Oryzias latipes: one gene and its partners. The protein of the gene in region 5 purifies or fractionates together with the protein of the main gene of each other region. This does not show direct contact. Links are inferred from orthologs where the notes say so. Each region holds a gene or a part of one and is shown on either strand. Other genes may lie near its edges. The genes, in order: kat14, kat2a, tada2a, yeats2 and zzz3.

Region 1 (6,443 bases), on a different chromosome or scaffold from region 5:
CCCCTGACAGGCACAGAGCGGATCAGACCCCAACAGCGTGGGACAGGAGCCCCGTTCTGATCCACTGTGGTTCTGAGGAGCTGTGGTGAAGCGGCCGCTGTTTTCAGGAGTCAAAGTCGTGACTGAAGAGGATCTGGACAAACACACGGCTTGTAAATAGCCATCAGGCTGCACCGTCACCATGGAGACCGGCGCCATGCAGCGCCGCCGTCTGCCGGGTCGTCCTCTAAGTTATTGCTGTGTTTCTATTTATTTTTACTCTCTGTTTGTACAGTGAGACGTCCGTCTGTTTCTGTTCATGATTAATAAAACCCGGTCTCTGCTGAGTTCTTCACTTTTGTCAGCGGTGATCCAGACTCAGACCCGCCTGAAGGTCCACCAGAACCGTGAAATGCTCCCAAAATCCAGAACCAGTCCAGACCACAATCTGGTGTTTGCTTTGAGGTCATGTGCAGAAGTGAGATCCAACCATTGACTGTATAAGAGAACGGGACTGAGTGGCCCCTCCCCTTTGGCGTTCCAAACAGGAAGTTCCCACAAATCCCACAGACGTCTACAGAGAAACAAACAGCTGTTCTTCCCTCATCTATTGGTCAGAACCCGTCTGGATCCCAAAACTTTCACATCCCAAAATCCTCATGTTTGAATAATATTTTTTCTGTAGTTCAAGTTATAAACCGACCAATCAGATTCCTGAATAAAAGTAGGCGGCCTCATGTCGAACATTCAAAGCATTTGATTGACAGATTCTTCTGAGCCTGCTTTCAGTGGAAGGGGTGTGGCCTCCTAACATGCTCACTACTGATAGGAGAGAGAGGTCTCCATGGAAACGTAGACTAAGACCAGAGCCGGCGTACTGAGGACGTCTGGTTCCAACGTGGTGTTGGAAAAATGGCGCCTGAATTGACTTCATTTGGTTGAAACTTTTTTTTCTTCACTGTATTATTCAAAACAAATAAAACCAAAATGCATGACGAGAACAATAGTCATAACAATGAGAATGCCAGGTACATGTATTACAAAGAAATATTGCAGAAACAGATTACTATGCATTGAAAATGTTCAAAGACAGTTTTCATAAATACCGTTTTTGTTTAAGCCATTAGAAATAAGATTCTAATTCTCTAATTATTACAGGGAAAATATTTGTGATGAAGAAAATGTTGATTTGTGAATATTAAACCTACTAAATATTATAATTAGATTATTGCCAATTATACGTTTGATCTTATTTTATTTTCATGTAGACCAAATATGATAAACTCAAACTTCATCCGACATTGTGAGTCATATTTATGATTTATAAAACGTGAACATTCTTTCCTAAATGTTTTAGTAATATTGCATTTCTGTTGTTTACAGAGAAGACAGTTGGGGTCAATAGTCTTCTTCTATCTGATCATGTATTGATTATGGGATGGATTCTATGTAGGAGTCTGTAGTAGACGTCTCTCATGATATTGATTCATCATTTCTGATGCAGGGTCCAAACAGTTTTCCAGAGCGAGTCAGGAAGACGTTTCCTCCAATAGAAGACAGCAGAGGAACAGAAATGACGTTTAGCTGAAACATTATTTGGTTGAAACTGGAAGTAAGTCATTTTGCAGGGGCGACAGTGGCTCAGGTGGTTGAGCGGGTCGTCCAATGATTGAAGGGTTGGCGGTTCGATCCCCGCTCCCACCAGCCAAAATGTCGTTGTGTCCTTGGGCAAGACACTTCACCCTCCTTGCCTCCAGTGTGGCTCCACTGGTGTGTGAATGCACATGTATGATCCCGGTGATGGTCAGAGGGGCCGTAGGCGCGAAAGCCACACCTCTGTCAGTCTGCCCCAGGGCAGCTGTGGCTACAACTGTAGCTACCATCACCAAGTATGAATGAGGAGTGAATGAATAATGGACACAATGTAAGAACTTTGGGTGTCTTGAAAAGCGCAGATAAATCCAATCCATTATTATTATTATTATTATTTTCTCAGATGACGTCACGTCGCACGCGCTCAGTCCGGTTGTCTGGCCGCTGGGAGCCTAAAGGGCAGAGTCCTGCTGTCAGAGGCAGAGGGAATCCCTCCACTCACCTACTCTGCTTTATCTCTGTATGCCGACGGTCAACCACTAAAATCTGTTTACAAGTTTTATTTAACTTTAATTGGAAAAAACGTGTACATTATTTAAAAAAATCAGTTTTAATGAACTCATATGACAATGGAGGACTAAACTTTCTGGATTTAAAACACTAAATAACACATGGATCAACTGGATCAAATCTTACCTAAAAAAAACTACAACAAATTTGGAATATACTTCCACATTTAATATTTTCAAATATTTATGGCTATCATAAAAAAAACCTAGACTCAATTAAAAAACTAATAATTATATTATATTTGGCAAATTTGATATTCATAAATGTAAATTCTCTTCAACTTCTATTTTTTCCCCGTGTTAATCAGAGTAAAATGTCTCTCAATTCCATCTCTTAAAGTCTTAACCAGTGAATGTCAGTATGAACGCTGTAGAAACTTGAATGTTTTTATGTAAAATGCATGTAATATTCATGCTCTCCTGGCACATTTAAAATTTATCTTGTAAAATTGTGTTTGTACAATAAAGTTTTTAAAAAAAGTCTGGCCGCTGCGCTCCCGGCCGCTGGGGGCGCTGCGTCGCAGCTCAGCGGTCAGCCGCGCAGAGGAAGAGCGGGACGCGGCAGCTGCAGCGGGCTCGCGCTGAGTTGAACCCTCCGTGATGTCTGTGACCTCCAAAGTGGTTCTGGGAGTTTCTGTGGTTCTGACTCTGAGCACCGTGGCGACTGTGCACCTGAAACAGGCCTGGGACCGAGAGGTGAGCCGGTCCAACACCCGGTAGCGTTGAGGCTAACGGCTTACCCGGTTTAAGGCCATAAGCATCAGCGTGCCGTCTGCGGACGCTGCTGACGCTGATGCCAAAACGTCTGTCCGTCAAGTTATCCAGAGCTTCCGGTTTACACTCTCAAAAATAAAAGTTCAACAGAAGCAGAGTTCTCTTAAATTTAGTTTTCTGTTTATGTTTGGACTGTTATGGTTGTGATAAACATTAATGTAAATATATGCTGACTGACCTCGGGACCTCCCCCCGGACTTCCGGTTGAGTGGACTTCAGTGCTGATTTTCTGGTTTTGAAGTTAAACGCGTTTTATTGTGTCAGTTCCTGTTATTATCAGAGTGTTTCAGGATTTTAGTAGAATCCCTTCCAAAAACGAACCTGAGGGATTCGAACCGACCTCCTACTCCAGGGATGCCCACACGTTTGTGAGTTATTTTTGAGACGTCGAGCTCCTAAAGTTCTGGACCGGGACCACCAACCCTGCTTCAGTAGATGCTGGTTAGAATCAGGCCTGTTTCTGATTGGCAGAACACACCTGATCCAGGTAGCCCACCAGGAGAGGGCCGGCTGACCCTCTTCCTGGACTGACGGTCGTCTGGAATCGTGGAGGGCTGGTTGGAGCGTTCGACACCATAAATCGTAGAAAAAAAAGATTCAAATATTAAATTCAGGCTTTCCGGTAATTCAATAAAAGTGATAGAATTCAGGTCAAATAGAATGCCCATTGTCTGTCCACGGGGGTCCACAGGGGTCCATGCTAGGGCCCTGTCTGTTGTTCCATAAATGACAGTTTCCTGTTCTTTTCATTCAGACGGATGCTGATCACAACATTTGGATTATCTTGGGATTTATTAGACATTTTAACCTTAAATCATTGTAACCGTGTCACATTTCCTTTGACTAACTTTAATTTTATTTGGGCTCATTTGTTGCTAACATGGTTCTGTCACATGTTAGAACCGGTCCCAGACCAACCAAAGCACCAAACACAAACAGTTCAAGTACGGCATTTTACGACACAAACTCTGTTTTCTAAAATGCTGGGCGGTTCGTGGGGCCGTCCACTCCACCTGTTTGTCCAAAGAAGAACTGGGGGGGACCGGCTCTGAACACCACAGACCCGCCTACATGCCCCCCCCATCTATCAGAACTTTCATGGGGGCTTCCATCAGTTTCACTCCTGGGACTTTGTTGTAAATCATCCTTAGTGACGTTTTTAGAAAGAGGATCAAACGTCTGGTTGGGATCAGAACAGCCGCTGGACTGATTCTGGACTCTAATCTGCAGACAGAACTCTAGAACTCAAACCGCATGCAGCTCCTGATCTGCAGGAGGAACGTTAGAACACAGAACCTTCTTGTTCTGGACCCAGTTCTGGCTATGACAGGATGCGTTCTGGATGCAGACTTGCAGCCGCTGCAGTGGAGGAATTTGAACCGGGACTGGACCCGGTTCTACACTAGAACATGAGGGGTCCAGGGATCACTGCTCTCCTGTTAATGCCGGCGTCTCGTGCCGCGAGCAGCCAGCGGCCAATAGGTGTCGTTTTCACTGACTCCTCCCCTCTGCTCCGGCGTCTGCAGCGCCTCCACCAGGGTGTCGTTCGGGATCTGGAGCGGCTGGAGAGGAAGAAGGAGAACCTGCGGTTGCTGGAGCAGCAGAAGGTCCTGACCCGACACCTGGAGGAGGAGCGGCGGCGTGCTGAGGCCAGGCTCCGCCCACAGGACACGTGAGGCAGGTATGTTTTGTGAAACGGAGAGAGTGGAGGCTGTGAGGGGACGTGAGCTCACGCCGCTGCACCGACAGGACCGGCCCACAGGTGGCGCTGCGGCTGAGGGCGGACATGGACAGCAGCGGCGAGCCCCTGGCGGCGGACGAGGTGACGTGCACGTCGGCGTCAGAGGGGCTGGAGGAGGGGGAGGTGGAGGGGGAGACTCTGCTGATCGTGGAGTCGGAGGATCAGGGTTCGGTGGACCTGTCCCACGACCAGAGCGGGGACTCGCTGACCAGCGACCTGGGGGAGGAGGGGGAGGGCGGCTGGGCCTGCGAGGACATGTCCTTCTACTGCGAGCGCTGTCACAAGTGGACCCCTGCAGGTGAGCCCATCACCACAGGGGGCGTGGCCAAATCCTGCTCCCTAAGCCTAGCTGCATGCAGCGTTGCCATGGCGATGGGGGCTCTAACGGGTGTCTGTTGCAGCTCAGCTCCGAGGAGAACAGCCCAGCTACCTGAAAGGAGACAACTTCTTCAAGTTCACCTGCTGCAGCTGCTCCGAGGACGGCAAGGAGAGCTTTGAGAGGATGCGGCTCACCTGGCAGCAGGTACACCCCCGAAACCCCGCTGAGGGAGGGGGCGGGGCTGAACAGGTGTGTGTTTGACAGGTGGTGATGTTGGCCATGTACAACCTGTCCCTGGAGGGGACGGGCCGGCAGGGCTACTTCCGCTGGAAGGAGGACATCTGCGCCTTCATCGGCCGGCACTGGAACTTCCTGCTGGGAACCAGGTGAGCCCCCGCCGGCCGGGCGCCGCACAGGTGAGCCCCCGCCGGCCGGGCCCACCTGTGCGGCTCCGCACAGGTGGGCCCCCGCCGGCGCTGACCCGGTCTCTCTGCAGGAAGAAGACCTCCACCTGGTGGAGCACGGTGGCCGGCTGCCTGTCTGTCGGCAGCCCCACCTTCTTCCGCTCGGGGGCGCAGGAGTTTGGAGAACCCGGCTGGTGGAAGCTGGTCCAGAACCGACCCCCCACCCTGAGGCCCGATGTGGACAAGTCCGCCGCCAAGACCAAAGGTAAGGCGCAGCCAGTCCGCAGAGGGCGGGGTTCCACGTCTCTGCTCAGCTGCTTGTGGTCCGCAGCGTCCAAACCCGTCCTGGACCCCATCATCACGGTGGAGGGCTTGAGGAAGCGGGGGGCCCGGAACGCCGTGGAGAACGCCATGCAGCTGAAGGAGAAGCGTTCTCGCACCCAGGAGGCCAAAGACATCCGTCGAGCACAGAAGGAGGCGGTGGGAGGATACCCCGACCGTAGTGCCTCCTCCACGCCCGTCAAACTGGGCGGGGGCCGTGGCGGGGGGGCCGGGCGGCGGCCCGATCTGGTCCTAGAGAAGGGGGAGGTCATCGACTTCTCCTCGCTGAGCTCCTCGGACCGGACTCCTCTCACCAGCCGGTCTCCGTCACCCTCCCCCGACTTCTCCGCCCCAGGGACGCCGGCCTCCCAGTCGGCCACGCCCAGTCTGCTGTCGGAGGCGGACCTCATTCCTGACGTCATGCCCCCCCAGGCGTTGTTCCACGGTAAGAGGACGCCCCCCCTAGGCGCTGCTGCATGGATGATGATGTCATGACCTACCTCCCCCTCCTGCAGATGACGAGGAGGTGGACGGCATGATTGATCCAGGAATGGAGTACGCCCCCCCACCCAGCGCCACCCTCATAGGCCGCAAGAAGGTCTGCTCCGCCCCCCCTCACATCAAAAGAGAAGCTGACAGCGAGGAAGACGATTGTCCTGAGCGCCACGAAGACTTTGAGGAGTCGGGAGGAAGGAAGGAAGCTCCTCCCTCTCCGTCTGGGGGGGCCGAGCGGAGGAGGGCGC
Region 2 (6,594 bases), on a different chromosome or scaffold from region 5:
GCTCAGGTTTTGCTAGCAGCTAGAGGATCTTGGTGAGGAGTTTCACCGTTTACCTGCTCAATGTTGGGCCTTTCAAAAGGAGGGGTTCCCAGAGATCCCTCCACAACAGGCTGGCTCATCTGAAGGATGCATTTCCTCAGCAGCTAAACCAGAAAGACAGTAATCAGAAAAGAATGTGAACAATACGTTTTTTGTTTTAAGGCAAGACAAGACAAAGCAGTGCGCAGGGATTAGAGCAGGGGAGACCAAACTTTTTTGCTCAAAGGCCAAAAGGGCGTAAATCTAAATGTGATCCCGGTCCGTGGGCCAAATTCAAGACTTTTTTGCAAGTCATGAAATAAAAGAAGAGAATAAAGAATATAGTTTAGGTTATTTATTTGTATTTAGTATTTTTCAAGGCAACACACATTAGTGAGACTTAAAAGTTAGTAACATTTTTCTTTGAATCTCTCTCGATCTCCCACTCTCGGCATTTAACGCCGAACCTTCGTAGCTAGCCAACGTGGCGCTGTCCCCTGCTGCCGAGGGCATCTTGAGGGTGGCTTGCTGTGACAAAAGTTTAGATTGGAACTCTCTAGAATTTGTCTTTTGCGCCTCACCTTTGTGTTTGGATAAAACTGCGTGTTTAGTCTCGTAGGGTCGGCGTATATTGTACTCTTTAAGTACAGCCACGGACTGCTGACAAAGAAGACTAACAGCCTGAGAAGAGATTTCTGGAGAAAAATAATCCTCCTCCCATATTTGTTTAAAATGCCTCTTGTCCGTTTGCTACTTCCGTTGTCGCTCCATGAATGAATAGAAGAGGTTAAGGGGTTTTAACTGAACACTCCGTGGCCTCTACAGGCTTGGTGGGCCAAAAGACGACCTTTGCTGGGCCATATTTGGCCCCCTTGGATTAGAGAATAAAACATCAATTTGCCCCTCACCACTTCCACCCAAACGCTCAAAAAAAACACCCCAAAACCCATAGAACCATAACGCTACCTTGAAGAGGTAAAAGTACACTTGTTTGGTATCAGTGTCCTCCTCTTTGTGCACAGACATGAACAGGTTCTCCACGTCAACCACCATGCCCAGCAGCCTGTTGATCTCCTCCTCAGACACATTCTCCAGATGAGACACGTGCTCCGCTGCAAAACAATTACCGTACAGTCAATGCATATGTTCTACTGGGATCTCTTTATATTTTCAAAATTGTACTGAAGTTTGGGGAAACGTAGAAATCTGTAAATACTGCAAAAAAGAGCTATCAGAACAATTGACGTACTAGTTTTTAAAGAGATTCTTCTCTTTCAAAAACAGTTCAACTTAGAGCAACATTGTAAAAGTATTTTAAAAAGATGTGTGCAGCTAATACATTCTCATCACCACATGTGGCTCTTATTCCCCTTCATTGTGGCTCTTTGGCTAAAGTAAAAAAAAATTCATTTGAAAAAGTAACTTTATAGTAAAAAAATAATAATTAAGTAGTAACTTAAAGAAAAGTAAAATAGACAACCTCAAACTCTTTTCAAACAGGCCAAAGACAGTACGTAACACAAGTCAAACTAAAACATTAACTAAAAACTGAAACACGTTGAGCGCCGATAACCACAGAAAATCAATCGGAGGTCACCAAGCACAACCAGAATTTAGAAGCACTGGATTATAAAGCAGATTTTTTAATTCTTTTAAAACAATTCTTATTGATTTTAAGTGTACGGTACCTTGTGGTTTGAAATATACAATAAGGGTTACTTATTTAGCTCTTATTTAAATTTAGTTTGTTCGATTTACTCTTTTCTGGCTGAGATGGACCCCCAATGGTAAAACAAAGTGTGTGACATTACACTACCAATAAAAACATTAGCTGCTTTGAGAGGATCCTTTGTCTAAGGTGTCCTTTATTGAAAGGAAGTCATATGAATCTCGGCCAAAAGTTATACACCATTTCTCATTTTTCTTAAAAACAAACCCAGATATTTTCTCTTTGTTTATGCATAAAAACAACATTATATATATGCTGCTGTCTAAGTATGTAGCCAACAAGGGGGCCCAAGTTTGGGTCCCCCTGTGCCGGTCCCCAGCCCAGATAAAAATACAGGGTTGTGTCAGGACGGGCATCAGGTGTAAAAACGTGAAAGTTGATTCAATGTGGCGACGCCTGAAGGGCTATGTTGAAAAGTGAACAACAGCAACAATAACAAAAATACCAACTAATGTCTTATTTTTTAAAAGGCTAAAGTAAGACTTTGTAGCTCCTACTGGGTTGTTGTTGGTTAGAAATCCACCAAAAGTGTTAAAAGGTTGCAGACCTCTAGACTACACTATATATATATACGTTTTATCTTCAAACTTGGAAAAACAACTATACATGCATGAATATTGCACCAGAATAATACTGACTGTAAACATGACGCACAATATTAACCGCAATGTTCATTCTTAAAAACCAATTCCAGTAAAAATCTTGTTTTTGGTGTTTTTAACATCTTCTTGTAGCGTTTTTTCTCGTAATGGAGGACATAGATAAAGGAAATTAAGATTTAAACTGAGTTTCTGAGTATTTCTTCATTCAAATTGTGGTAAATCAGGAGCAGACGAAAACATGCCGTTGGAGAAAGCTTGTAATTGCTGCTGTAAGGAGAGCGCGGACACAAAGGGATGATGGGAAATGCGAGCAGGCTCAGTCCGTGCCAACAGTTCCACCCAAAACTCAGGTGGGTTTCTAATGCACGAACACGGCTCTTCAGAAACGATGTCCTAGAAACCCAAACGTTTTTTGATTTAGGCAAAATCTGCCTTATCATAATTACATCAAAAGATAATTGGAATGAGACTTTAAAGTCGCAGTTTCTGCACAAATTTTGCCATTAATCCCAAAGCCAGAGGAGGAACAACTAGTTTATTTTCTGACTATCACAGTAATGATGGGCATGTTTGCAAAGGGCAAACCGTGTATCTTGTGCAGAATCTGTAGTGTCGTCCCTCAGACGCATTAAACAGTGTGATGAGCCCTTCAGCGGTACTGATCTCCTGTTCTTAGTCAGTGGTTTAAATGGAGGCTGAATAGTTGGTACCCAGAGCATGTCCACAGCTGCGGCAGGGCTCGCTCAGGCTGGCTGCTTGCTGCTGCAGATCCAGACGGGTGGCTGACGGTGGGTTTGGGTTCTTCCATCCGTTGCATTTGCATGTGTCATTGGCCTGAGGACGCGAAGCACAAACAGTGAACGGCTATTCAGCGGCCGCAATGACTAACGGATCAATTACGCTAGCTGATGGGTTTGGCTACAGATTTGTGAATATAAATTATTTTTACAACAGTCGATGGAGGGGAATTAGTTGACGTTGCTCCACTTCTACTTTGTGCTCTAAACATATATTTATAAACGCTAATAAATCTCAAGACGGCTCTGTTGTGAACTTTGGCTAGCTACATTAGCTACCTTGCATGCGGAGAACACGCCAAGTTTCTCCAGCTTTTTCGCCCGTGGGAAAGCTCGAACTTGGGCTTTCTTCTGGCTAGCGCGCTGTTGCTGGCTGAGTCCTGGCCTAGCCGGGTCGCTATTGCCCGACCCGGAGCCTGTTGCAGCATTACCGGACCCAGCTGACCCAGCGGACTGGGTCTGTGGAAGCCGGGGTTGTGAGGCCTGCGCTGCCGGGTCCGACATATCCACGCTGCTGCTGGAGACTTCCTCTGTTGCCGTTGATCTCATCTGGTGCCTTCAGGTTCCGGGCAGAAAGCTGGATTTTACAAACACCAAAAGCTAAAAATTCAAATAAAAAATGTACACAGCATTAAAAGCATATTGTTTTAATCGTGAGTGAATAAAAACCTAAAATAAAATATTTACTATTTGAAAGGATCATTTGGCTATTTCTGGAAATTTTAAATGTACAGGTTCCCAGTACTGTAGTAAAGCGGTGTAGTGTCCTCTAGTGGAAAAACATGAAAGCAACACGTAACAAATGTTAGGCTCTATGTCAAGCTGTTCTAGAATGAAATCGGCATCCTTGTTTTAAGCCCAACTAGTAATGCCAAAAGTACAATTATTTAAAACGAAATGCCATAAATGTGAACTAGTTAACTAGTAATGTTTAGAAATATGTACTAGTTTACTAGTGGGCAATACTTGTGCTTACTGGTTGGTTAGTGACAATCTAAAAAGTCAACTGGTTAACTAGCTGCATACACATTTTCTACAGCTCCACTAGTAAGGCTCTTGTAAAGCTCACTAGTTAACTAGTGTGACCAAAATGTTTACTCCCAAACTCTGATCAATTTTTCCATTCCACATTATATATATATATGCACACACACACAAAAGGACAGACCCAGTTAACTGTAATGCAGAAGCTGTTTTTCTGGAGTACCTCTGCTATGGTCCACCTAGTGACCGTTTTAGGTATTGCAACTATGCATACCTCAATGAAGACTTTCAAAATTAAACACAATTATTTATGGAACTATATTGTTTCTTTATGTCTCAAAGAAACAGCTTTTCTCTCATTAAATGTGCAACTTTAAGACAAAATACATATTTTAACAGCAACAACTGTAAAGTGAGACAGTTATAAACAAAAAATGTTTTAAAATGTGGATTTATGCATGTAAAGATTATCAAAATTGTATAAGAAACCAGTCTATTATGAAATGTTTGACACTGGAAGTACTATACCTCATGTCAAAGCAATAACCGACAGGTTATCAGGTAACCTGTAAAGATGTGTGAAATTGTTTTAGGGTTTTAGGGTGGAAAAAATGAGTAGAAACATTTCCAAGCCTCTGAATTTCATTTTAAATTCAAAGATTTTTAAGCTATTTTCAACAAAATCATACATGAAAAGATGTCTACCCTCATTTATTCATGAAAGTAGAATCGTTTTTCCCACAATCCCTCCCTTTCAAGATGCAACGGCTGCTATTTTCCATGGTTGATGCCATATTAGGATGGATGACCCCCCTCCACCACCACCCTCAAAAAAAGTTTAAAAGCTGATGCCTCACTGATGTGAAAATTAAGAACAAAAAAAATGTGGTGAACGCTGGAGAACATCTCAATTCATAAAGATGATGAGACAAAACCAGTGCATTTAATACCAGAGATCTCCAGAAAGAAAAAGAAAAAAGGAAAAAAAAGAAAAAAATCACAAATTGTCTGACATAACATGTACAGATTGGGACGGTGTTTTGTCAAGATCTACATATTGATTATAAACCTGAAGAATCTGTTACAAATAAAGCAATGGTGTCAATACAATAGGGATTTTGGTCAAGAGGACAATTCTTATTTTTACACCGATGATTCAAAAAACATTAATGCTAAAATTACAAACAGGTGAAAATGTTAAAGTACTTTGTACTCCATATGGTTTGAAACCAGGTGATTGAAAAACCTCTGAAGTCAAGGTTTTAAAATCAAACAGATCCATCCGTGTCAAATAGTATAGAACTGGTGGAAGAAGAATCAATCAATCTACAGAGATCCATCAAGAAAATCATCTGTCCAGCCCTTTAGTTCTGGTAAAAGCCTCATCCTTTTTTTGGGAAGCCAATCAGGAGCAGGACAGAACATGCACCTTGATTTGTACCCAATGACTGGATGGAACCATTTCAGATGCATGTGGAAAGTGAAAACCAATAAAATAAGAGGGGCCCTACAAGCCTGGTTTTATTCTTTTTTTGTTGTATCCTTTTTTCTCTCTATACAAACAGAAAAGTGAACAAAGAAGGCGCAATTAAGTGCCATTAGTCATGAACGAGATCGTTGTTCTTCTCTCAAAGAAGACATGAAGAGTCCATCAACTGGAGGCGAGATCATTGGGCGAGTCCAGAGGTCACAGGTCGAATTCAGAAAGCAAAAGAAATGGATTTGTTGGTCTGTTGGTTTGAGCCATCCATGAGGTCCTGCAGTGTACTGGCCAGTCCACTCATTTTCCAAACAATAACTTGGTGCTGATGGGGTTGTTGGCCTGACCCTGCTTTGGTTTGACCTCTGAGGTATTGCCGGACAGCTGGCTAATTTCGGGTCTGGTTGATCGAAGCTGTAGATTGGATGGAGGAGTCGATTCATTGCAAGTTAGTTCCCACAGCACTGGCTGCTTCTACCCTGGGGTGCAGCTTCTTGAAGGTCAACGCCACCTCTGGCTCGTCCACCTGCGGCTGCACCGCCTTGGGGCTCGTTCTTCGGAAGCTTCTTGGCTGTTTTTTTTTTTTTTAAGAAGAGAACATAATTAATTGACATTGAAGTAGATGAACTAAAAATTTCAGGTTCGTTAGGGAAATTTACATTGAACTTTACTGAATTTGACAAAAGACATAAAAATTTACTGGTGAAAGTTGTGTTTTTTGGTGTTTCTAACATGTTTTGTTGCATTTTTCTGACGATGAAGGACATATTTAATAAATTAAAAATAAGCTCAAATTTGTATTTCTGAGCATTTCTTATTTAAAATCATTATAAATCAGGAACAGACAAAAACTATTGAAACTATGTCCTAGAAAATGACACGTTTTTTGATTTGGGGTAAAACACGCACATCATAAATTAAAGAACCACTGGGAACACTATTAAAATGGCTGAAAAGACAACTGGAGAGGGTCTTTAATAAAAT
Region 3 (6,646 bases), on a different chromosome or scaffold from region 5:
TCAGTGACTTTTTTTTTTCTTCTTTCAGTGACTTTTACCGGTATGTTTTTTTTTAACAAGCCCTGTTAGTGCTGTTACTACCATATTGCTGCCATGTCACAGGCACTGTTTGGAATAGAGCTGTGACGGTGTGGGATTTTTGATGACCGCTGTGATGAACACAAAATCCTCCGGCGGCTGCGTCGCAAATGAATACCGGTACAAGTACGACTGCACGATATGAAGAAAACTCGCGATATGCGATATTAGTAATTAATATTGCGATAACGATATAATTTGCAGTATATAAACAATTAGCAAAACAACCAAAAATATTATTCCCATTCCATTACAACAGCTTAAAAATTATACTACAAATGACCCTTGTTGACATAGGAGGCGAACATACAACATAATAGGGCGCCATCCGATTAGTTAACAACGTGAAGAGGTCCATCTCATTGGTCAAATGCAGAAAGGGATTCTTTCAATCCATTAAACACTTCAAGCTGCCATAAGATTGTTTGGCCACATCTAAGGTAACCATTTATTGCAAATTTGCTGTCTTTTGCGATATGCATATTGCACAGCTTGATATTGCGATAACGATAAATTTGCGGTATATTGTGCAGGCCTACGTACAAGTAATAATTACAACGCACTAATCTTTATTAACAAATAACCGTAACAACTAACTACTATCAATGAACTAACTATATTGGTGTTGTAGAATGAGTATGTGTGTGTCAGTGCACTGTGTGTGTAAGAGGAAGGAGCACTAGCAGTGCAAGAGTAAGTGACAGCCTCCCTCTAGCGCTGCACGCTCTCCCCTCTTTCTTACACACAGGGCTCGTGGTTTCAGCACATACACATCCTCATTCTACAACACATGTTTCAATGTGGGCACATGCAGCTTATGGACAGGTGCGGCTTATGTATGTACAAAATGTTTTATCCTTTAAAAATGGAATGGGTGCGGCTTATAATCAGGTGCGCTCTATATCCAGAAATGACGTTAATCTGTTCCTTTTAAAGAAGCACATTGCGACGTTAATAACAACACAAACAACAAAACTTTACATTTCTACATTTCTATCCCCTCCTTAACCCAGCTCGGTCTCAAGCTTACGTTTGTGGATGTCTTACTTCAGTTCTCTGCTTGTATTTTTTAAATATCCCATTTTTAAGCTTTTTTTTTCCAATCTATGCAACTATGCTTGTAGTTTCTTTCAATGTACTGTCCAGTGAGTTGCATAGATTGACTGCATATAGTGATATGTGTGTCTATTAGTTGTGCGTGCAAGTGGCAAATTATATTTCCTCCTGTCGCTATCGTCTTATGAAACAAAAGAAAAAACGGATTGAATGATGTTTGGGAGAATTTTCAATTTGGCTTTTAACATGAATAATAAAGTTTTTAAAAAATCAATTAAATTATTAGTGAATTCTCTGCTGCCTTTTTGTTGATTATACTAATTGCTTTTTTCTGTAAATGAAACAAAGGCTTTATATATATGGACAGAATATGCTTTTCCCCAAACTTCGAGGCAGTAACTAAATTACACTTAAATTAAAAAACAATATAACCACTGTTAAATAATATTTTCACCAATCTTCTTTTTTAAATAATTAATGTGAGATTTCCATTAAACAGCAGAAATGACTTGTAAAAATTGTCACATTTTGAAACCAAAAGACAATGAAACTAACATGACACCAATGATAAATAGCTAAATGATAAAACATTAAAAACTTGCTTTTTGAAGTTAGTAAAAATAAGTGTATTCAAAAAGAAAACACTGGTAAAATGTCTTCGACCTCTTACCAGTTCCCAAACCCGCAATCCATGACTGCCTCCAGCAGAGCCATCTCCTCCTGCGCCGTCCATCCAGGCTCCAGCACCGGGAAGTCTGAAGTCTGAGTCGAGGTAACACAAAAGATGCCCGCTAAACATGATGTTTAGCTACACCCGAGAAACTCAACTGCAGCTCCACTCACCATGATTTCATATCTGTGATCACTCTGATGCTTCTTGTATTCAAATCCTCTGGTAAAACACTGGAACGAAATAAGTTCAGGGTAAAGCTGGTCAGGTAAAAGACACGATTTGTTCATTAAATAAAAGTTCTTTGAATGCACTGAGGAGGTTTTCTTAACTGAGAAAAGTAAAACTTACATGCAAATTAAGTGAATTCATAAATTGTATCGATATGACGACCATGAAAGAAGCAGCAGTTATAATGTGGCTTATTTTTCAAATAAACCCAATCGTAAAGATCTGGTCATTTATTTCCCCATTAATTTAACAGTGAAGGAAATCATTTTGCAAAATAACAAAGTTCTAATCTAGAAAGAAAAAACAAGTGCATTTTTGGAAGTAACTAACAAAAGAATTTGTATTCAACACAGGTGTGTGAGAAAGCACAGTATTAAACCAGGTTAGACACAATTTGACTTCATCCTTTTAAATAATTTTAAAAGATTTCATAATATCAGTGTGCTATAAAACTATAATAAAGCGTCACTTTTTAAGAAACACATTTAGAAATGTGATCAACAACATTGTAATGTACTTTTAATACCCTTTTACTACAGAATGTAATACTATATTTAAAAACTGTACTTATTAATATATAGTTGATATATTTTATAGATACAAAATTAAATATGTCAATTATTTTAATTTTTAATAAAATTGTATCTATCATAGAATATTTGTAACAATAGAAAACCCTAGAAAATGTAACACTTAACACTCATAATAAAGAACATACATACAAAACATTATTTGGTTTAGCAATACGATCTAATGCTATTTGAACAAATTCAAAATTCAGAGTGCAAAAGTATTTTAATTTGTGCTACATGATTTTTTCTCAAATGTAATAATGTTTCTAAGGCAATAAATATATTATTTAATAATGGATGTAAGACTTACCGTATATCCTCCAATAATAGCCCTGACATTAATTGAAGACCAGCCACTATTGGAAGATATATGGTATTGGCAATGTAAAAAATAAATAAAACAATTGTTAAGAAACAGGATAATCAGTGGAACATGAAAGAACTGGACGGAACACCCTGACACCTCTTTATTATACACTGCCGTGGGATGGCATCATGTTCTTTCATTTGAATTTTTTTTCTCAAATCAGGTATAGTAGTTAGAAATCTGTGGAAGGCGATCAGTGCTGGGCGGGCACTGATGTGGAAACCTCCAGAAGTTCCAAAAATAAGGGTCAATCAATGGCTACAGAAATAAAAGCAGTTTGGCTATTTGGAAAACCTTGCATACCTTCTGCTGCTCATTGCACAAATGCGCGTTCCTCACAAATATGGACTCATTTAAAATATAAAGCAAACTAATTTTGCAGAAGTCTAACATTTATTGCCAAGAAGTTTTGCAACAACAACAAGGAAATACTGGGCTAAAAAAAAAAATCGTAAGGTTTTGTCCAAAGTGTTTAAACTGTGGTCTGTCTGCGTAAAGTTACAGCTGAGTTATTCGGTTTGTGTTCAAACACACATTCTAAAGAGCCAAAACAAACAAATTATAAGCATCCTCATCTGGCTTACCTGAAGACACAACAAAAAAGGTGAAGGTCCACATTCTGCGCACTTGATGTATGGTTCGGTTAGATGGGATGAGCAGCCTCTGCAAGGCGGTTTATCAAAGGGGTCATCTAAAATGAACAGAATAATTATATATATATTATCAGTAACAGTTTTAATAGTAACAACACGCAGTTAAAAAAGATACATATAGCCTAAAGTCGTGATTTTGGGGCAAACTTGAATGCACAAAACAGATGTTATCTTGGGCGAAGGACTAGCTTTACTAGTCGAGCTTGAAAATGATGATAATGTTGAATGTCTCAACAACAGGTCGAATATTTTCAACAAATCACTGCGGCAAACAAAAATAGCATTGTTTTTGACGGCGATGCTAATGCTAAAGATAGCTTAGCAGACCTTGCTTTATGGACAAAAACAGCTAACCTTCCAAAAAGTCGATGGATACTTGGTAAAACTGCAATAAATTCAACTGTGTGTATAATAATGCCAATACGTACCTGAAAAAGACGCTATTCGGTCCATTTAATTGCTATTTGCTTCTCAATAACAACACCAAAATTGAATTTGGGTCGATCTGTTTTTCAGAACTCGGCTATGTGCCTGATGACGTCATAACTAATCGAGCTCCGAATATCGATAGTTTTGGTCGTGTATCACCACACAAAATGATATATATACTATTATGTTTTAATAGTTGTGTGCCATGTCCTCATAGGTTCTTACAAAGGCAGAAGAAACTCAAAAATTTGAACAGAAAACAAATGTTGTTTAAAAAAATGTATGAAATATATAAAAAAGCCACATGGAATATTGCATTTTAATGCAAAATGATTTTTATAAAAAGGTATTTCATCTTTAACTTTCTTTTCCTTCTCTTAAGATTTTTGTTTTACATTTATTTTGCAATGGGGAGAGATTTTAACTTGTTTTTAGTTTCTCCATCTCATCACCATGACGACAGTACTTCCCTATATTGCCACAAGGTGCTGATCTTGCTCTATGTCTCTTAAGGCAACAATGAGCACCCTGAAAGCCTTTGTCTCCCTCCCAGCACAGATGATTACCTGAGGCTTGCATAAGCATCATGTGAGAAATAGAAATAAAGATGATGAATGTTCTGTGTCACAACACCCCCATGCTGCTTTTTGTCCTCCATAAACTTTTTGCAGAGGTGCTGCCTGGCCTGCAAAAGGCTTCAAGACATTTTCTTTAATATGAAAACCAGCAAATATTTATGAGTACCAATGTTTTCCAGTGCCTGTGTCCAGGTTTGGCACCCCCAATTCAAAAACAGCTCAAACACCCTCAAGAGCATGCCAGTGAGGGCCCATGAGGAGCCTTAGGAAAACAAATATCTGAAACCCTAATGCATAAAACTGCAAATCCACATGTGCCAAACTCACTTAAAGGTAGAAAAAATAAGTATTTGAGTGAAATGACTGATTTAGTACAGATGTGGCTGGAAAAAGGACTGTTTGATTTTCATGAAACCTCTTAACCTCTCTGCAGTTACTAATTATGACAGTTTTTATTCTAATATTTGCATTTCTGTCATTGATACCAGAAAATCTGATTCCTTCTTTCTTTGAGGTGATTCAGAGCAAATATATTTAGACTGCAAATCCCCACAGAGGATGAGGGCAGCTTCCTAAACCACATGATGGGTTAACTCTGAATGGGCTGCTCTGTTCCAGCTTGCTTGAGCCTTCTCTGTGAGTTCAATACATCCTGATTGGTCTGTTCGGTAGCATCCTAGCCTGCGACTCATCTCTGGAGCCTCTAGGGAGAGACACGGTTTTTAACGATAGTCTGTGTATGTTAAGGAGATGCACGCACACTCTTACTCTTTTGGAGGAATTTCCAGCTCACCGTCATACTAGCTTGTAATCATCCTTTGAGAGGGTCATGATTTATTCACCTATGAGGAGAGACTTCTCCTTTTTGTGTAACGGTTTGCTGTTGTGTGTTGAGCCAGAGTGAGCTTCCTTTTTTGTTCCTGGCTGCAGCATTCACACCACATGCCCACAAGTGTGTGATCAAACGTGGCTATAAAGGCCACAACTTTTCAGGACTATCTCAGCAGAAGAGCCCTTCTATCAACTGTTTGTTTCACTAAATTATTAAATTCGGAATAAATTGATCAGGAATTAGAAGATTTTTGGATGTCATTTATTATTGTTCAAGTGTTTTTTTTAAAACATTTCTCTATTCAAATTTAATTGATCCAACATGCACTCAGTATATTTGTTTGTTATTCTTAGAACTTTGTAAAGTTCATGCTTTTTTTGTTTTAAAGGTCTATTTAACAGCCTTAAAGATTCTAAGGAGGCCTAAAATCGGCTGAAATGGCATGAGACCAATCTGGGGACTTTTTGAGAGATTTTTACGGTGACCATAATAATTTATCTTTATAACCGTTTTATGTGTCAATTTTAATATCCATTGTTTTAGTAAAACCCCAGATTATTTTCTTTCCTTGATATTCCTCATCATATTGAACAGCAATTTCACCACAAACCTGAAACTGACCTGAGTGGTAAAGTTAGTCCTTTTTTACTGCAAAAAAAACATCAAAAAATGTAATCAAATTGTTTTTTTATGTCTCATGGCAAAGCTTGAACATATACAGACAAAATAAAAAAATTATTTTTCCAAAAACAAAGCAAAGATATGATCAAAACAAAGAGAAAAATGTCTAATAAAACCAGACAAAGCTCCACAAAGCTATATGTTTAAGGGATTTGTTTCAAGGGGTATCTTAATTATGTGTCATAACAGTTGTCATGATTGGTCTGAACCAAAAGTTTTAAAGCTAAAAACCTTTTGAAAACCTTCATTTTGGGTGAAGAATATGCTAATGAGGGATCATTGTCATTCCTATGTCATCGTAAACAGCAAATGTGATTGTCCTTCCTACTACTGATCGTTAAATTATTCTGTAATGAACTTACTGTACAAGGCATAAAATGTTCATTTTTTTCTGCTGGGATGCTGGCATTTCATAGATGTGTGTTGGCTAAAAGACACGTCTGTGCCCAGCAGTTGCATTTAATTAAGTACAATTGTATGTGTAAGGACCATTTGAAAT
Region 4 (5,898 bases), about 19 Mb from region 5:
TTGCTCTTAGTTCAGGTCTTTCTCTTGCTGCTGGTGAGCGCACTCCAACACGTCCCAAAACTGGTGACAGGGTTACTTTGGGTTCCCATGGCAACTCTGCCTTCCAACCAATCACAGCCAGCTGTAAGATAGTCCCTCAAGGACAGCCACCCAGTCCCGCTGAATCTCCTGGGAAACTGTTCCAACCCATCACCATGAGCTGTAAAATAGTTTCAGGCAAGTGTCTCCATCAGTTTTTTTTATAGCAGCTATATCTGCCCTATTCAGAAGTTGAGCTTAGTCACTAAAATAAAATATTTCATTATGTCAGTGTTTCACATGTAATAAAGCATTTATTTGATAAATTTACCACCAAATTACAAACAACAATTAAGTGAAAAGACACTTTTCTTAAGAAAAGTGATTTTTTTTGTCATTAATAAATTGAATATATAACCTTTTTTTGTCTTTTATGTTCTAACCCTCATCTGAGATCATAAATGTTGGGTACCCAAAATACCAACTGTCTGGTATCGGGTCATGATGCAGTTTAGACACGTAGGGCTCCAGAATGGACTGATTATGGTTAGGAGTGTTCTCTTGGGAAAGCCTACCCCCTTAAGAGCTAAAGGAGACATCTGATGAGGAGGTCCAGTAATGAAGTCCTAGATGAGCTGCCAAAAAAAAGCACCCCATGAAAAAGAACAGTCAAATTTAGAGGTGTTAAAAGCTTAAAATATTTCATGAAATTGGTGTGATTAACAGTTGATGTTCTTTAGACTATCTTAGCCCTCAAGTTCTCTTCCATTTCAATTCCTCCAATATCTTTGACATATAAAACACCAAAAGATTTACTCTGTATCTGTTTACTGGTACATCTTCTCATCTATAGGCTCCCCCATCTCCACCCCAAGCCACTCTCCCCTGCCTCGCACACCCATCGCCTCCACCCCCGCTCACACCAAGGATGGCTCCTCTGTGCTCAACAACCCTTATATCATAGTAGACAAACCTGGCCAAATGATCGGCATGACTTCCTCGTCTGCTGGGCCCACAGGTACAAATCTTTTTGTCAGTGCTGCCGATGCTCCACAGAGTTTAAAAGCAAACCTCTAAGATGCCCTTGAAAACGTTTAATGGCTACAGAGAATGGAAAGTACAGCAAATGATCAAATCTGGAAGATTTTTTTTCTGCACATCTCTGCACCCAAAGCCTCTTGTCTGTTCTTCTCTTTAATATTTTAAAAAATATTTGATAGTATTTTTGTCTGTGGGTTTCGTTTTCTAATGAGTGACGTGAGGTGAAACAGCAGAATAGCTGCTGGCTCTGAGATTACCATGGCAACAGCGCTGTGGTAGTTCATGATCAGGGCAGGAGAACATCTTAAAAATCCTTTTGCTCTTTTGAGAAAAGATGAATTAGAAGTACTTTTTTGCTCCATGGAGTGCAGGCTGCTTCATGATCACAGATCTATTTTACACATCAGAAACTTGGGTAACCATTGCACCATTGGAGCTCTTTCTCTTATGTTGTGCTATTATATCCACTTAGACACTCCTACGCTTCCTCCACGAGTTCAAACATCAGTCAGATCTAGTTTTGGGATTGGAGCGGTAGTAATGATTTCCCTCAGGATTATGTTGATATGAGTGTCATGGGGGGGTGGGGTCGATTCTCCGAACCTGCAGCTCTACTTCTACATGGAGTGCAGTTAAATGTCCGCTTTAGCATTATCAATAAAGTTATTGCTCATTTTTGTCCATATTCTGTTACATAGGAAGCCCTACAAGCAAACAGGGTCAAGGCACACGCTCCCCAGCACCTAAAGTTCACACCGGCACCTTGCTGTCCTCAGGAGTGAAGGTGAGTTAGCCACGTTTTAGACGAAAGCACATTTTTTTGAGGGATTTATCCATCCTCCAGCCTGTCCCTGTAGCATTTGCCTCTCCAGCAAAGCAGTGTGTATTAATAGTAGGCTGGGGAACTGCCTTCTGCAGATGTGAGCCCTTCAGCAGCTATTTAAATAGGGCATCTTTGTGAAGATGGGGGTGGGGGTGTGGGAAGCTCTGTAGAGAGAATTACTCGGTTCAGCTTCACACCAAATGTCTTGACAGCCTGCAGTAAAGTGATTGCGCTGCCACTTGTTGCCATCCTTTTGATTATTCTGTGATTTTACTTTGAAATTCTCTTCTAATACAGTTTTAGTCCTGTCACCGTTTAGTCCAACATTCTTCGACATGTTCACAAAAGCGACTGTTATTTTTTGCAAGAACAGTCATCTTTTAAAACATTTCTTGTGTTTCTTGTTCAGGTTATTATCAAACAGGAGCCAGGGGAAGTTTCAACAGCGCAGCAGCAGCAGATGGTTTCCACGGTAACCAGCCAGCAGCAACCTTCTGCTGCAGCAGCTCACCAGTTGGTTGCAATGAAAGGAGGTCACATGATCTCCATGACGGCTCAGAAACAGGCCGGAGGAGCCACAGGGTCCACAACAAGCAAGGTCAGACATTCCTGCATAGATCCAGACAGTAACCAGGAGGATCTACCTGAATTGCGTCCAAAAAGCCAAGTTTAGCTTCCAGATCCCAAAAGAAAACAGTCTGATGAGATTTGACGGAACAAGGAAAAATAAGATCTATAATGTTTTAAAAACTTGTTTCAGGCTTTAAACTTTTGAAAGATCAAGTACTGCAGTCTTTTTTTTCTTGCTCTCACTCATCATTATTTTTCATTCCCAAACACAGTAACTCCTAAACATTTCTTTTCATTTGTTTCTCTCTCCCCTTCTTCTCTTTGTAGATGTTGGGGATTCCTGTTGGCTCCACACTTCAATCTTCGGTTAAGCAAGTTGCCATCAGCAGTGGGCAAATTCTGGTTGCCAAGGGCAACCCCGGTTCCAAAGTGATGGGAGGCAAGCAGGTTTTGGCTCAGGGAGTTGCTAAAGCCATCGTCAGTGGAGGCAGCGCCTTGTCAGGCCAGCAGGGCGGCGCCAAGACAGCTGGTGGTTCAGGGGGCAAAAGTGGAGGTTTGAACTCACAGACATGACTGACATTTAGATTCACTATGATAAACCTTTACATCTTAGCTTATAGGAAATTAGCTCTTTTTATCTCAAACATTTAGATTCTGTAATATTGTAAACCTTGAATTGTAAATAAACACCTTTCTGAAAAATCAGACACTTTTGGTTTTACACCCTTCTTCCTTTTACCTTGATCTGTACACCGTCTTTTGTATTTTTTACAGTAATGGCTACTCTGCAGCTTCCAGCCAACAACTTGGCGAATTTGGCCAATTTGCCTCCTGGCACCAAACTTTATCTGACGACCAACAGTAAGAACCCATCAGGGAAAGGAAAGCTGCTGCTGATACCACAGGGAGCCATTCTCCGAGCATCTAGTGCAAGTAAGACATCCTCAAACTTATGTTTATGCCTTTAAGTACAAAGAAACCTCCACATTATTTAGATCTGTTTCAGTTATACTACACACTTATTATCCTATTAGTTTTAAATAGCTGCTTTGTTTGTACTTTTGTCCAACAATTCACTTTATCAATCTTAGTTTTATGCTTTTATGAATTGAGAACCACAAAGCTGATTGATTACTAAATATTAAAGTGTAATAGGATTGTTTACCTGATTTAAAAATGTCCTGTCGTCTGCGTGGAATTAAGGTCAGCAGTCCCAGAGCAGCTCCTCTGGAGGCGCAGGAGGTTCCCAGAGCTCCTCTTCCAGCAATCTTACTTCAAACCTGTCCTACACATCCTACATCCTTAAACAGACCCCACAGGTAGTTACACTCTTGTTTTTTTATATAAATAACTACCGTAATTTCCGGACTACAAGCCGCTACTTTTTTCCTGCGCTTACAGCCCTGCGGCTTATTCAGTGACGCGGCTAATTTATGGATTTAATTAGCGGCCGCCATGTACGTACTTTCGAACTCAGTGAATAGTTTGAATTCTTTATCTAACACCAAGCACAAGGCATTTATATTCAACACACCTTTAAGCAGCCAAACAGCATGGACTTGACTTCAGGTCTTAGACACTTCAGTCATGGTTCAACAAAACGAAACACGCATGCCCGGCCGCATCCCAGAACCCTTTGGTGCCATTAGACCCAACGTGCACGTGATCGCCGCTACAATATGATGAAGCTTTCAAGTTAAAAGCAATCGTTAAAAGCAGCATAAAAAAGTCCACCGTCACCAACGGGTTTGGAAAAGCCGGTTTCCTGCGTGACGGAGAGAACAGCGCATGGAGTGAATTTACACTCCATTTACGGTTTCTAAGGAAACCGTAAAAGCGGAATTTTGCTTTGAAAAATTCACAGCCTCCGTGTGAGCTGGAGACATCTCCTGCTGATTGAGCTGCGGGGCCGATGGCAGTCCCACGTAACAACGCACCCGCCCCTCATACACAAAACGTACAGTATTAAGTCCGATTGCTTTGCACTGAAACGATTTGCTCCATCCACCGGCGCAACGGGGACGAAGTGCTCCTCCTTGAAGCCGCCCTGGCCAGAGGTGTCAGAGTAGATAGGAAGGGGAGACAAGGAGCGCGCGGGGCGGGAGCGGAGCGCAGAGGCTTCTGAATTCTGACGCACGCGCCGCACTGAGGCGCGCGTATCACGCTGAGGCGCGCGCTTTTCAGTCAGTCGCCGCTGCTGTATTTTACCGGTGTGTTTTTTAACCAGCCCTGTTACTCCCATAACGCTGCCGCGACACAAGCGGAAGGAGAGCTTTTCCCGTTCACCCCTCCATGCACTGCTGATACTTGCTCATTCTTAAACACGTACAACAGAATGGCGAGCCGGGCATTGGCCCCGCCTTTAGCCCCTAAGACTCATGGGAAATGTGGAATCGCAGATGTAAATTTCCTCATCATAACTGAGGGATGTAATGTTGATTATATGGTTACTGTTTGTAATTTTATGTATGATACCTAGATTGTCAATAAGTAAAAAAAAAAATGAAATAAAAACACCATAACTGAGGAACTTGTGAACAGAATAGAGGTCCATGCTGTTTGACAGATGTCGATACTCAAATACATGAGCCTGAGGCAAAGCTGGCACCACCCACAATGTGCTAATGAATTGCACTCACTCTGGGATGCTGGCCGTGATCTGTCAGGATGACAATATCGCCTAACACATGCTCGGCTTGTACTCTGACGCGGCTTGTGTATGTGTAAAACTAATTAAACACGTGAAAGTGGGTGGGTGCGGCTTGTAATCGGGTGCGCTTTGTAGTCCGGAATTTACGGTAGTTGGAATTACATAGCATTGTCATTGTTCTACATTTCTGTTGGAGATTGTTTGGAATTCACAGCAGCAAGGTTTCTTTATTGACTGTCAGTCGTGTGTTTCTGCATGCATTCTCATGAACCCTCTTCATAATACTGCCTGTTCTTCTCTGTAAAGAAATGGCTCCCTGTCCCGGCTTTTTATCTGCTGCTTGTTCTAAAAATTCTTCTATGGGCTCCACTTTCAACAACACAAAAGATGGAAGAATAGGAAAATAAAAATGTCCTTTGAAATCTCATTTTTCTTGAGTATGGCTTTGTTAGCTGTTTACAGAGTTGCTTAAGATCAAATTCTAGTGCGACAGCAGATTTTCAGCTTAATGTTCACTTCTAGATCAGCTTGTTTGGACAGTGGAAAGCATTGAGGTTCTTTTTTAACATCCATATGCCTTCAGAGAGAGCACTTGTTTATTTTTCCCTTTTGTAACTTCTGCTGTTACTGTCCTTCCCACGCCCACGTCCAAACCTAACTTTGTGCTTCGAAGGGCACATTTCTGGTTGGGCAGCCAGCGCAGGGGGCTGCGAAACAGGGGGGTGCCAGCTCAGCAGCTCATTCAGCAGCTTCTCCAGCTGCAGCTGCTACCCAGCAGGCCATTCGGGTCACAGCT
Region 5 (5,898 bases):
CAAAAGGTATTTGTTGACCAAAATCAGAGGGAGGTTCCCGTCGAGAACTGCCAGTTCCGGCTAAAGATGTCTGAGTGGATCTTGTTGTTGGCAGCCAGGTCCCCTCTGCACCACGACTGCATTGACATCAAGTCAGCAGTGAATGATGGAACATTTCCTTTTTTTTATTCCTTGTGAATAAACATAAACTTGTAGAAAACATCAAATAATCCGAAGTGTTTTGAGGGTTTTAAGGATTTTGTAATGGACCGCATTTTTTAACAAAAACTAATTTATTTTCTTCTTTCAACTTTTATGAAATGAAGAAGAGTGTTTACTGCAGGTCATTTGTATCCTCTGGAGTATTTACTGAACAGTTACATCTCAAACTGTCTCCATGTACATCTCTGCTGTGCTGCTCTGCACCACACAGACAGAGGAGGGACTTGATTGAATTTACCAAACAACTCAGAGCAAATACAGGCACTGCCACAGACAATGCAGCAAAAAGAGGTTGTTCTTTATGGCCAGTACGCAGCAGACGTTAACAAGCTGCAGCACCCAAAGAATAACTGCATGAGCGAGTAAATACAACCATTAGGAAGGAAGTAATCCTCTTGCCACCAACCTGTTCCTCCACGGTCCACAGCTGGTTAAAAGTGTCAGGTTTATTCGGGTGACAAATCCTCCCCCTGATCATCTGTCAGGAACACAGAGAAAGGCTCGTCAAAGGACTAACAACACAAAGATAATGGGCGTGTCAACATTTGTAAGGATCTTTGCACATGAGCTGCCTGGCACTTCCACATTCATCACTTTGACAGAGAAAACCTGGCTGTCAGATGTGACTCCAGACGGAAGCACAACAAGTCTTCTGACTGTCAGGAATCCTGTCGGAGTTCAGAGAGTTGTCACCCTGAATGCAAATGTGCTTTTGTAGCACAAACAGCAGAAGCAACAGAAATGAGCAGACTGGTTTGCTCAAAGTGAAGACACCTTTGTGGAACAGCAGCAAAAGTGATGCATAATCACAAAGACAGGAGAGGAGTGAACATCGTGTCTCCATGGAAACCATCTTTGATGACAACGTTTTTCAAAATGCCTGGCATTAGGAATACAACTGAGTTTTTTGGGAGGGGGTGTCAGACAGCAGTAACCTGATGATTGGTGAGATGACTTGCAGGAGATTGGTGACTCACCATCTGCAGTTAGAAAGTGCTGCCACTGCATCTGAACTAATAATAATCTGAGACACAGAGGTGGTGACAGGACAGACTGATAACGACGTGCAGAGCACAGGGGTGAGATGCAAACGCATACCTGCGTCTGCAGGCCGTTCTCCGGGGCATCACTGGTGGGCAGAGAGGAGTACGCCGTGGAGCATTCGCCTTCCTTCTTGGGCTCAATGGGGCTTTTTGGTCGAAGTGGCAAACCTGTCAAAGGAGTAGAAAATAAATGGTACCACATGCTTTTGAAGAATAACAAAGCCCTTACAAAAAAGAAGCCTATGAGGAATTTCATGATCATACATGCCTTTGTCAAAGATCAACTTAAGCTGCCTCGTTTTACGCTTCTTGTCGCAGAATTCCCTCTCAAAATCACCAAGGCCAGACGTGTGCTGCTCCCACGCGATTTCAGGGAGCTGAACGACGCGCTGAGGACACGGCAGATCCAGATTCACCTGTGGGGGGGGGGGGGGTCAAAGTGTAAAAACAGACACATGAGCCACCCTGCAGAGCTGAGATGACTTTGCAGTTCTGGACCCAAATTGTTTGCCAAGTGCACATCAACCTTATGTTTTTAAAAACTTTCTATTCTTTTCTGTTGCATATTTTTTCTGCCCCTCTATTACCTGTTTCTGCAGCTTCTCCACAAAGCTAATAGGGTCGACGAGAGCCTCACTCTGCTGATGTGCCAGTGTCTCCAGGTCACGGATGGCCTGCGTGCGCTGGGCCTCAAGAACGCCAATGGTCTGCAGCAGTCTTTGATAACTGGCATAAACAAAGCAGGGTTAGGCTGTGAAGAATGACAGAGCAGCCTACATTATTAAATATGGCACCGGGCTGCAGTGCATGAAACTTTTATATCACTGCCCATGCATAATTCAACAGTTGTGCTAGGAAGCGTAAACAGTACCTCAAAACAAAACCCACTTTCACACCTATTTTGCAATCAAAACATTTACAGAAGGTTCAATGCAATTATCCCGACAGCAGCTGGCAGCTCTGGATCCAAATAGACCTGCAAAACATGTCAAAGACCTGCTTCTTTACAGCCACTTTTCTGAGAAAACCCATCCAGGTCTGCAGCTTTACAACACAAAAACACAACAGCACCGGCCAGATCCATAAACATTTCAGATTTAAAAAGTACATTTCAAAACATTTCCATGACAAATGCAGTGTTCGTAGAAAGTTCAGTGCTTCAAGTTGGCATTTTACGCCCGCAGTTGCCTGGAGCAGTAAAAGAAAATCTAAATGATCCGCCGGGGATGACAGAAGATACTGACTCAGCGGAGAAACAAACAAACAGCCATACAGACGCTTGGTATGTGGTTATAATCCAGAGGATGCTTGGAGAAAACATGACTGAAAATCGAGCATGGACAGAATTGATCCCACAGCTAACCATAAGACACGACACACTAAATGTTGTAATGAGGTTTAAAATCGGGTTTACTCAACCAGCAGTCTGTGACTATGCTGCACAGAATACTATCAGGCATCTTTACCTAAATGTACTTTGAGGCATAGATGAAAGCAAACTCATGTTTCTAGGTGAAAGTCTGGTACTCCATTGCCACCTACTGGACGCCCAATGTAAAGCCCCATGAACAGCTGATCTCTGAGCTCATACTTGATCTTTCTGAGTGGAGATCCAGTGTGGCATCAAAGAGCCAGTACAAAATAAATGGTCAAAGTACAGTGATGCACAAACAAACTGTTTTACAACTAAATCAATTAAGTATATCAGTCCTGTAAATTAAATAATGCGACATCATCCCCCCCCCCACTGACTTGTCTGCATTGATCAGAGGCCTGAAATTCCCCTCACTCAGCACAACCAAACTTGGCATGCGGCTGAACTCTGATCAAATTACCGGCAAATACAGGAGCAGTGCAATCCTGCTCTGAAGGCAGCACCCACATTTAAACATTTCCAATGAGAGGCTGAGACACAGAGCTAAACTGATGGGTCCTTGAAGACCCCCAAAAATGCTCACATTGGAATAAAACGAGGAACCTTTTGGTGTTTTTTGGTGTGTGTGTGTCCCACTCACAACAGAGAGGAATTTCTGATCAACCCCACTACAGTGCTCAGCATAAATGAGTACACACCACTACCTTTAGTGTCCTTTCAGAATCTACATTTTCTCTGAAATACTATAATACAAAATACACCTATAAAGGTGTGGCATTGATTGAAAACAAGATTTGTTATTTGCACACACAAAAAGTGATTTTCCTAACAAATGAATCAAGCCCATGTTGCTAAATGAGTACACCCCAGTCAGAGTCTTGGGAGAAAAGCCAAACTTTAGACTTCAAAATTCTAATGAACAGGCTTTCAACCACAGGTGAGTCTAATCAATTGTCTACCAACAGCTCACTGATTTTCTCTTATTAAACAATTCATTTGATGTTTTCCAGTCAGGTTTTAGACCCCATCATAGCACAGAAACTGCTCTTATCAAGGTAACCAACGACATCCGCCTGAACACTGATGATGGCAAAGTCTCTGTCTTAATCCTGCTAGACCTGAGTGCTGCCTTTGATACTGTTGATCATGGGATCCTTTTGCACAGACTCCAAGACTGGGTTGGCATCTCTGGATCTGCCCTAAGTTGGCTCAAGTCTTAACTAGAAGACAGGAAGTATTTTGTTGAAATTGGGAGTTGTGTCTCAGACTACATGGCCTTGACTTGTGGTGTGCCCCAGGGATCGATCCTGGGACCCCTTCTGTTCAACCTCTACATGCTGCCACTAGGGCAGTTAATACGCAGTAATAACATATCTTATCACAACTATGCAGATGATACTCAGATCTATGTGTCACTGACAACAGGTGAATATGGGCCGGTGGATTCACTCAACCACTGCCTCCAACAGATCAGTGCGTGGATGCAGAACAACTTTCTCCAGCTAAACTCAAACAAGACCGAAGTTATTATTTTTGGCCCACAGAAACAAAGAGAAAGTCTCAGCAGCTACCTTCATTCTCTGTCTCTTAAACCCTCAAATCAAGTCAGAAATCTAGGGGTAATCATGGACTCTGACCTGAACTTTAACAGCCATATCAAGTCAGTAACATCAGCTGCATTTTACCACCTGAAAAACATTGCCAAAATCAAAAACATAGTGTCAAAGCCAGACCTGGAGATACTTATTCATGCATTTGTCTCCAGTAGGTTAGACTACTGTCACCTGCTCACCGGCCTCTCCAAACGAGCTGTAAAACAGCTTCAGTACATCCAGAATGCTGCTGCTCGAGTCCTGACCAGAACCAGGAAGTATGATCACATTAGTCCTGTGCTCAGGTCTCTGCACTGGCTCCCTGTACCTCAAAGAATAGACTTCAAAGCAGCTCTGCTTGTGTACAAGTCTCTCCATGGCCGAGCACCAAAGTACATCTCTGACATGTTAGTGCCATATGAACCATCTCGTACTCTGAGGACCTCAGGGGCCGGCCTCCTGTTGATTCCCAGAGTCAGAACTAAACAAGGGGAATCAGCGTTTCAATATTCTGCAGCTAAAATCTGGAACAGCCTCCCTGAAGGCGTAAGACAGGCCTCTTCTGTGTTCATGTTCAAATCTAGACTTAAAACATTTCTGTTTAGCCGTGTATATGACTGAAAGGTCCTATCTGCACTTTTCTTTCCTTTCCTTCCTTTATTTTTAAATCAGTTTTCAAATTTTTTTTTTCTTTTCTTTTAAAGTAAATTTTATGTTGATTATTTCTATGATGTTTTGTGATTTTAATGCATTTTTCTGTTTTGTGAAGCACCTTGAATTACTTTGTGTATGAATTGTGCTATACAAATAAACTTGCCTTGCCTTGCCTTGCCTAATGATTCATTTCAGGTGTCCAGCACACAGGTGACTAGAAAAGGGCATTTCTTAACAAAGAACAGCCCTTCCCATTTCATGCTGTCAGCACTGGCTCCCCATGGAAAAGAAATGTCACAAAACTCAGAAAGAAACTCATTTCTTTGCACAAAAAGGTGAGGGCTACAAGATCAGCAAAGCTTTACATATCAGTCAAAATACTGTAGCAACAGTGATGCAAAAATTTAAGAGAGATGGAAGTGCAACCATCTCACAGAGACGTCCAGGCCGTCCACAGAAGCTAACATCTGGACAGGAGCGTCTCCTGATGAAAAGGGTTGAAGAAATTTGCTGTGCAAGTTCACTACAGCTAGCTGAAGCAGCAGAACGCCAAACTGGACGAACGGTTTCCTGTGACGTGTTATGGTCACACTGCAGAGGAACGGCATTCATAGTTACCATCCACCAAGGAAGCCTCTCCTAAAACCATGCATGAAAAAGCACGCCTAGCATTTGTTGGGCCCATGCTGAAGAAGATGAAGACTACTGGGACTCAATACTCTGGAGAGATGAGACAAAGATCCCCGATTTTGGAACTAATGGTTTGAAAACTGGATGGCGTCGCAAAGGTGAGGACTTCAAAGGAAAATGCATGCAGTGAAACACGGTGGTGGCAGTGTCCTAATGTGGGGCTGCATTTCATTGATGGTATCATGAACTCAACAATGAACTGCTCTATACTGAAGGAGAAAATGCTGCCATCACATCATTGGTTGCTGAGCACTTTTCCACCACGACAATGATCCAAAACACACGTCTGAAGCTGCTGTTGCATTTCTGAAGAACAACAGGCTGAAGGTGACTGGACGGCCAA

The links.
Region 1: the proteins of zzz3 (region 5) and kat14 purify together in Homo sapiens (affinity purification with mass spectrometry; 4 studies listed by BioGRID and IntAct, with this or other methods). This does not show direct contact. The link is inferred for Oryzias latipes from reciprocal best matches to the Homo sapiens genes ZZZ3 and KAT14.
Region 2: the proteins of zzz3 (region 5) and kat2a purify together in Homo sapiens (affinity purification with mass spectrometry; 5 studies listed by BioGRID and IntAct, with this or other methods). This does not show direct contact. The link is inferred for Oryzias latipes from reciprocal best matches to the Homo sapiens genes ZZZ3 and KAT2A.
Region 3: the proteins of zzz3 (region 5) and tada2a purify together in Homo sapiens (affinity purification with mass spectrometry; 4 studies listed by BioGRID and IntAct, with this or other methods). This does not show direct contact. The link is inferred for Oryzias latipes from reciprocal best matches to the Homo sapiens genes ZZZ3 and TADA2A.
Region 4: the proteins of zzz3 (region 5) and yeats2 purify together in Homo sapiens (affinity purification with mass spectrometry; 3 studies listed by BioGRID, with this or other methods). This does not show direct contact. The link is inferred for Oryzias latipes from reciprocal best matches to the Homo sapiens genes ZZZ3 and YEATS2.

The regions. Positions count from the first base shown.
Region 1 is NC_019859.2:453,300-459,742, reverse strand, and holds the start of kat14 (cysteine-rich protein 2-binding protein), read left to right. Parts: upstream 1-2,675; 5' UTR 2,676-2,837; intron 2,838-4,441; 5' UTR 4,442-4,596; intron 4,597-4,664; 5' UTR 4,665-4,701; coding exon 4,702-4,954; intron 4,955-5,057; coding exon 5,058-5,179; intron 5,180-5,239; coding exon 5,240-5,361; intron 5,362-5,471; coding exon 5,472-6,145; intron 6,146-6,215; coding exon 6,216-6,443. UniProt on the Homo sapiens protein: Component of the ATAC complex, a complex with histone acetyltransferase activity on histones H3 and H4. May function as a scaffold for the ATAC complex to promote ATAC complex stability. Has also weak histone acetyltransferase activity toward histone H4.
Region 2 is NC_019866.2:6,156,349-6,162,942, forward strand, and holds the start of kat2a (histone acetyltransferase KAT2A), read right to left. Parts: upstream 3,730-6,594; 5' UTR 3,696-3,729; coding exon 3,426-3,695; intron 3,184-3,425; coding exon 3,060-3,183; intron 1,131-3,059; coding exon 985-1,130; intron 144-984; coding exon 54-143; intron 1-53. Other genes in the region: rab5c (ras-related protein Rab-5C), read right to left, coding at 6,060-6,181. UniProt on the Homo sapiens protein: Protein lysine acyltransferase that can act as a acetyltransferase, glutaryltransferase, succinyltransferase or malonyltransferase, depending on the context.
Region 3 is NC_019871.2:10,131,992-10,138,637, reverse strand, and holds the start of tada2a (transcriptional adapter 2-alpha), read right to left. Parts: upstream 4,182-6,646; 5' UTR 4,081-4,181; coding exon 4,056-4,080; intron 3,666-4,055; coding exon 3,559-3,665; intron 2,038-3,558; coding exon 1,978-2,037; intron 1,897-1,977; coding exon 1,805-1,896; intron 1-1,804. UniProt on the Homo sapiens protein: Component of the ATAC complex, a complex with histone acetyltransferase activity on histones H3 and H4. Required for the function of some acidic activation domains, which activate transcription from a distant site. Binds double-stranded DNA.
Region 4 is NC_019875.2:23,336,959-23,342,856, reverse strand, and holds part of yeats2 (YEATS domain-containing protein 2), read left to right. Parts: coding exon 1-216; intron 217-871; coding exon 872-1,036; intron 1,037-1,757; coding exon 1,758-1,843; intron 1,844-2,291; coding exon 2,292-2,480; intron 2,481-2,779; coding exon 2,780-3,005; intron 3,006-3,226; coding exon 3,227-3,385; intron 3,386-3,655; coding exon 3,656-3,771; intron 3,772-5,775; coding exon 5,776-5,898. UniProt on the Homo sapiens protein: Chromatin reader component of the ATAC complex, a complex with histone acetyltransferase activity on histones H3 and H4. YEATS2 specifically recognizes and binds histone H3 crotonylated at 'Lys-27' (H3K27cr).
Region 5 is NC_019875.2:4,200,659-4,206,556, forward strand, and holds part of zzz3 (ZZ-type zinc finger-containing protein 3), read right to left. Parts: intron 1,971-5,898; coding exon 1,832-1,970; intron 1,661-1,831; coding exon 1,513-1,660; intron 1,413-1,512; coding exon 1,300-1,412; intron 680-1,299; coding exon 608-679; intron 1-607.